Linked DNA regions of Bombyx mori. The protein of the gene in region 2 interacts with the protein of the main gene of each other region in a pairwise test. Links are inferred from orthologs where the notes say so. Each region holds a gene or a part of one and is shown on either strand. Other genes may lie near its edges.

The links.
Region 1: the proteins of DNA primase small subunit (region 2) and RpS2e interact in a two-hybrid assay, tested with the Caenorhabditis elegans proteins (2 studies listed by BioGRID). The link is inferred for Bombyx mori from reciprocal best matches to the Caenorhabditis elegans genes pri-1 and rps-2.

What each region holds. Positions count from the first base shown.
Region 1 is NC_085119.1:4,434,612-4,437,899, reverse strand, and holds RpS2e (ribosomal protein S2), read right to left. Parts: upstream 1,863-3,288; 5' UTR 1,837-1,862; intron 1,538-1,836; 5' UTR 1,537-1,537; coding exon 1,018-1,536; intron 823-1,017; exon of another isoform or gene 821-822; coding exon 554-820; 3' UTR 513-553; downstream 1-512. UniProt on the Caenorhabditis elegans protein: Component of the ribosome, a large ribonucleoprotein complex responsible for the synthesis of proteins in the cell.
Region 2 is NC_085116.1:10,063,792-10,067,889, reverse strand, and holds the start of DNA primase small subunit, read right to left. Parts: upstream 2,801-4,098; 5' UTR 2,647-2,800; coding exon 2,644-2,646; intron 2,576-2,643; exon of another isoform or gene 2,575-2,575; coding exon 2,318-2,574; intron 2,180-2,317; coding exon 2,010-2,179; intron 1,643-2,009; coding exon 1,444-1,642; intron 724-1,443; coding exon 516-723; intron 303-515; coding exon 1-302. Other genes in the region: uncharacterized protein LOC101739672, read left to right, coding at 3,544-3,595, 3,742-3,945. UniProt on the Caenorhabditis elegans protein: DNA primase is the polymerase that synthesizes small RNA primers for the Okazaki fragments made during discontinuous DNA replication.

The sequences.
Region 1 (3,288 bases), on a different chromosome or scaffold from region 2:
ATAATTTGCGTATTAACTGGTGGTAGGACCTCTTGTGAGTCCGCGCGAGTAGGTACCACTCCCCTGCCTAATTCTGCCGTGATGAAGTAGTAATGCGTTTCGGTGTTTTGAAGGGTGGGGCAGCCGCTGTAACCATACAGAGATCTTAGAAGTTATATCTCAAGGTGGGTGGCGCATTTACGTCGTAGATGTCTGGGCTCCAGTAACCACTTAACACCAGGTGGGCTCGTTGACCCATCTAAGCTAATAAATAAAAAAATCTTGAAGACTCAACTTTGAAAGAAATTCAAAGCTAAAATGACATTATTATTTTTTAGGGTACTTATTATTAGTACTTTATTTAATTTATTTCAATATATTAAATAGTTTTAAGCTAATTTTATAGTTTGCAAGTGAAGTTTATATCTTTTTAAGCTTATTAATCAATAAAAATCACAAGACATGTCCAGCAGCAGATGTCTCTGTGCTAACAAAATAGAAAAAAGAAAATATTAATCAATAAAAGTACAAAGTAAGACAAATTCTTTTATTCAGTTGTTATACAATGACTGTCTTAGACTTTGAACTCTGAGTATGGAGACTTAGTCAGCGGGATATCCCTCCACAAGTCAGGAGTGAGGTAGGCATATGTCTTGGCAATGGCAGCGTATGTGGCTTTAGCAAAATTTCCCAAGGTGCCAGTTGAACCACGAGCTGACGTGTAGCAATCCTGTACACCAGCCATCTGAAGAAGCTTCTTAGGAACTGGCGCAGACACAATACCAGTACCACGAGGGGCAGGAATCAGCCGGACTGTTACGGAACCACACTTGCCGGTGACCTGAAAAAACAATTGTTTGTTTGATTTATTAAAACGATCGAAACCAATTTTATGTTTTCATTTCACAATTAAATTAATTCAGACGTTCAAAAGCTTCACAGGATAAACCTCAAGAGGATACCACGAATGAAATGATTAGAATGTTATCATCATTTATACAATTTAAATATTTTTTTAAATATAGAAGTGGCATTTACCTTGCAAGGGACGGTGTGTGGCTTTCCTATCTTGTTACCCCAGTAACCTCTTCGGACTGGTAGAACTGACAGCTTAGCAAGGATAATAGCGCCTCGAATGGCAGTGGCGACTTCCTTGCTGCACTTCACACCCAAACCAATATGACCGTTGTTGTCGCCAATGGCAACAAATGCCTTGAAACGTGTGCGCTGTCCGGCACGTGTTTGTTTCTGTACAGGCATGATCTTAAGAACCTCATCATTCAGGGACGGGCCGAGGAAGAAATCAATGATCTCGAATTCTTTGATTGGTAAAGAAAACAAGTAAATGCTCTCGAGTTTGTCGATTTTTCCTTCGCGAACAAGACGGCCGAGTTTGGTGACAGGAACCCACTCTTTCTGGTCTTCCTTGCCGCGCCCACGACCACGGCCGCGACCACGACCGCGTCCACGAGGACCGCCACGGCCTCTATCTCCACCGCGTGATCCGAATCCGCCGCGAAAACCGCCACGTCCACCGGCTGGAGCAGCGTCCGCCATTCTGGAATTTATAGTTTATCTTGTTAATAATTACTAAATTATAGACAATTTACACAAAGAATAGCTATTTATCAGACGCATAAAGGCCATCACTGTGCTAACACTATGGTAGATACCACGAATGAATTAAAAAAATTGTGTCATCATAAACCACGTGGTGAGGGGTTGAAAATTGAAAAGAGATCCTTTGGACGATGGACGCTTAAATTGAGTCTTCTCAGTAAACAAAACACTTGCATAACTAAAAAGTTAAAACTAAAAATAATTGGGATATTAAATTCATTTAACTCTAAAACTTACGTTGAACGATGGGCTCTGATAGACAGTCAAGCACAAAATGGCCGTTTGAACTTATTTAGTTCAATAGAGCCTAACAAAGTATCGAGAAAATCGAATGTGCTGTCATTAGATTATCGATGTTTTTTTAAAACCCTCGATTTTTTTAAAAACTCGATCCGAAAATGGTGTGTTTTAATTAATTAGAAACCTAAAATATTTTTAAATCAAAATCTCAAGTTTTATAATGATTAATAAGGACTAACTAAACTACTAACACATCTTTCTTCTAAATGCGGTTTTTTTTTTTAATAATAATATATATATGGATAGCTAAGACTATCTGGGTACACGGTGAGGTTGGATTCCTCAATTATCGACGTTATTAATAAAAAGATGCATAAGAAAGCGGATAGAGAGAGCGGTAATTGTTGAGTCAGTGCTGAGACCAAGAGTAATGAGTAATAGAATAACTTTTTCACTATACTTTCGCAATAAGGCACATTGTGCTTTGTTGTGCAACAATGTGTTGCGTTGAATATCTTTGATCCTACTTGAATCTTCAAAATGTTTATGTAACTATTTTTTTGTGTTTATTTAATTCAGTTACACGTGATTCGATCTGTATTTCTGATAAGATTTAAATAATAAAGAGAGCCAAATTTATCTATATACACCAACCTAATTAAATTTTCAGAAACGTCGTATCTGTACAATCATAAGTACTTAATCTAGTTGGACATAGAATCATCCTAGAAAAAAGTCGAAACCAATTCGTCAGATAACGCTGACATAGCCTCTCAATGCTATCAGCAAAGGTAAACGAAAAAAAAACAAAAAACGACACCACTTTACTTAATTTCAGTCGACAAACTCTCATGCATCTATTCTATCATTAAAGTAGTTCGTTTAGAAATAGTCTCGTAGACTGAAAAAATCTCACATTTCGTAGGGAGTGATTTGTGCTGCGTAGCTCTAGTCGCTACGAAGCACAGACCATTTATTTATGACCTAAAGGTCTTAGTTACCATGTCGAAAGATCCCTTAAAAAAAATTATTTTTTATTTATTATTTTTATTAAATCTTAAAGCCATAGTCCATACACGTAACGATATACTTGTGCCATAACGTCTTCCTCCGGGTGGCCACGTCCCCTGGATTTTCTTTTTCATTCTCAGCAGGGGCAAATCCTATTTATAATTTCGCATATTATTATGCCAAACATACGTTTTTGACAGTATTTCAAATCCCACTTTTTGTGGTCATTTGCAAGATTTTACTTTAAAGAATTCAATCAATCTACAGTATCTTCATCATTCTGTGCACCCATGTGAATTTCAAAAGCTTCTACGTTTATATTCTCGGTGTGTTTTATATTTCACGATTTTACGCTATAAAAATATACGAAAAGGCAACATCAGGCTAGAGACTATAAAAACGCAGTAGTAGTATAGTAAAATCTTAACACCAGGTGGG
Region 2 (4,098 bases):
AAAGCGAATACAAGTTCTTGGAAAATTTTAACAGCCGCTTTCATATTAGTTTCATGTTGGTTATTTTCGGCGACACTATCATCTAATAAACTGTATATTGTTGGTATTTCATCGATCTTCAAATTCTTTGCATTTGCTGACTTGAAAACAACAGACACTTTTCCAGTTTTCGGATGTATACTGAATGGAGACTTGAGCAAGTGATTGAAACCTTTTGTCACATTAACATCTAATCTGGGGTAGCAATATTGAATTTTTATTTCTTCTATAAGATATTTTATTTTTCGTATAACATTTCCATTCTACAAATTGAAAAACATGACAAAATAGAGTCATACATATATATGCATATTTTTTAGGACACAACTTCTAATATGTAGGTTAATCTTGAACTGTATCCTTGGAAAAAAATTTAAGCAGTTTAAAAAACAAATGCCAACGACTTTTCAATGAATTTCTAATTTTTAATGAAGTACCAAATTTTTCTTTATGTCAAAATTTTATTATTTTTTTACCTCTCTGCAATAATTTTCATAAATATTTATAAAAGTGTTCCACTTATTCAATGATGGTTCCTGCATTTTTTTCAAAGTTGTTTCAACCTGTGATTTTAACGCATCATCTGGTATCAACTTCAAAAATGAGTTTAGCTTATCTGTTGCTAAAAATTCCTGATCTTGTAATAATTGTTCAAAGTATTTGTCTATTATATTTAAGGCACGCCTGGAACAAGTATTTAAATATACTATTTTTAATTTATTTATTACTTACACTTCATGTATTTTATATATTAGTAAACTTAATGCCTAACTCATTCTCCTTACGAAAATGAATATCAGATCGAACATGAAACGTGTAAATATACAAGGGAATGCGTAACTTCCTCAAGGGAGTGTTATATAAGTTATGTGTAGTATAAAATTATAAAGTGTAAAAGTTTATTAGTGAAAATGATAAGGACAGCGGTATTAAAATTATAAGTTTGGGGGTGATGTCTTACTGTATACACTTGTAAAGTATATAAAGGTATGTATATAAAAGGGACTTTGTGTCAAATCTAGTCCTGATCTTGATATGTGACATTATATCAAGGTAACATTCTAAGCATTCTAAATTCTGATTAGCATGACCAATGTAAATTATTTTCACATGTAACCAATAATAATACAGTGTTACATCATAATCACTTTTCCCTTAGCCTTAGTAATGATTTTTACTGGTCAAAACTCTGGTAATGTGCTCCAGCAGCTTATGAAAGAAAATAATAGTATTTTCTTATTAATCTTCTTTGGATGGGTAGATCGACTCATAAAAGTAATTTTTAATTTTGCGAGAAGTAATTAACAAAATTATTATCAACAAAATTATGATCATCTATCATTTTCAAAAAATATTTATGTAAATCTCATGTAAGAATATCAAATTAAAAAAAAATGATATAACCTTATACTGGAATGTAAGTTTTCATTGCCAAGATGCACTTTTTTACTTTGGTTTTCACCACCTACGATTAAACAAAGGTAATCGGCAATAGCTCCTCGACCTGGACTATCGAGAGTTCTGGCTTCATAATCTGATACCCAACAGTGAATACCACGCCGACCTGAAAATACCCACAGGATGCTTTGGAACCCGAAGTCATCTGAAATTAGTAAGTCAAGGATGTGAATTTGAATTCAATCAATCATTTTGTCAATTATAAGAATCATGAATCACTTGTATCATGAAAATAATACTATAGATGTGGATAATTGAAGTCAAAATCCATTCACTAGTGGAAATATATAAGTAACTAACTACTACAGTGTAAATATGTTTTGGTTTTCTTTTTTTTTTCTATTGGCCCACAAACATCCTCTGCTGGACATATGGTTTTGTAGTTTTTTTTCGCCACCCCAAGTATGCATGAGATAGGTTACATTTTAATGAGTGTGGTGTGGTAAATAAATATAGAAATATAGAAGAATCTTTAATGGTCTGTAGCTCAGTAAAGTAAATCATGTATTTACCTTTTAAAGCTTTATCAATGATTTCACATGCAATAACCATAAATTTCCAGCATTTTTCACACACTCTAGCTTCTTGACAACATGTTCTTATTTCATCATAGTCTGTTAAATCTATATCGAATACTAGTTCTCGCGATATCACTACAGCGTCATGTCTTCCTACAGAAGGCCTTAAATAACGGAAGAATACCAAGTGACAATAAAAGAGTGTAATATTGCTTTTTAAATGCTAATAAATGAAATTTACTTTATTAAATATTCAAGCATGATATTTTAACTTCATACAAACTTTTAGACATAAAACATACTTTGTGTTGTAAACTGCTCCAACATCCAATTTGTGTGGACATTTCTTTTGAAGAAGGGTTTGTAAATCCTTTTGATGCGAAATCGACAAATAACGGAGGTAGACATCGTCAGCTAAAGTAAATGATAATTCTCTGTTACAGAGCGGTTGAGGCGAACTACCGCATGCTAGCCATCTACAGAATATATTTTGCGGAAATTGCCTGGCATAGTAAGTGGGTAGCATATCAGATAGAATGTTTTCATTGTGTTCGCCAATCTGTACAATTAAATTGATATTAATCAGAAGTTTAGTTTTTTATTTAGATCAGTTTGAATTTGAACTTACCATTTTTACCAAAACAACAACTCCTATAATGACATTTTTTTTAGGGATTTCATGACCTGATAACTAATACCTTTAAGTCATGTCTTATTTTAATTTATATTCTTATTTTTATGAAAAATGATAACCAATATGGAGTGAAATGAAATGAAATGAAGATGATTAATTTGAGACATTAATCAACTGGGATGAAATTAAATGAAATGAGATGAGATGATATCTCTCTATCTATAATCTCAGTCATTTTACTGAGATTATATTTCATTCCATACCATCTCATCTCATTTCATTTAATTTCATCCCAGTTGATTAATGTCTCAAATTAATCATCTTCATTTCATTTCACTCCTTAATATCATTTTTCATAAACATAAGAATATAAATTAAAATAAGACATGACTTAAAAGTCTTAGTTACCAAGTCATTAAATCCTTTAATAAAAACTAATTAGGAATCCGAGACCGAAAATTTGTAGAATCGATTAAATGAGTCGTCTATTAACAAAGGCGGCAATCTGTACATTTGGACAAAAAATTTTTATTGATATGTCAATACAGATTTATTTGAATATAATCGTCTCTTTCAAAGAATACGGTTCAAAACCTGCATTAAATAAAGGTTAATAGTTAACCTGTTATTTATCTAAGATGTCGTTCCGAAGAGTTTTGTGACTGCCAATGGAATACAAAGTCAATAATTCGTTTTTCTGATTTACCAATCATTGTCCAAAAGTCAGATTGCCGCCTTTGATAATAGTCGACTCAAATGTAAAAAAAATTTTTTAACCTACCCGTAAACATTTTTCAACTACCTACCCTAAATTTTATTCAGCTTTGTGTGTGAATTGAATCTTGATTTAGTTATTGATGTCAAAACTGCTGAAATTCTGACTACTAAAACAATATGGAAATTAATAAAGACACCGCTTTTTTAATAGTAGTAAAAATGTCATTTCGTAAGTAGGAACATTAAAAAATAACCGTAAACCCTAATTTAATAAGTAATGGATCTTTTAAAATACTTTTCACATGTGTTTGTGGTTTAAACCACCAACAGTATTTACTTTAATTTACGAAAATAATTATTCGTCTATATTTTCAGGTTCACTGCACAATTCGTATTGCAAGACTTCGGAAAAATTTCTTAATGCATCAAAGGTATTGATCGAATCGTTGCTAAGAAAGCCATTGGCAATGACTTTAATAGCAGCCTGGTTATTAAATTTACTGCTTATATCTACGTTTTTTTCTGTAACTGTTATTTTGATGACCTCAACTATATTTCTAGTAATTGTATTTTTAGAAGGTAAGTTACTATACTACTAATATTAGATACTGAATATTAAAGAATTAAAAAAAAAAATATTAAAATTTCAGACAAGGCTGTAATACTATTTAGAAAACTCTATAGCCTGCCTTAGAAAGATAGCCACATCATAAATATCACACATTGTCTCAA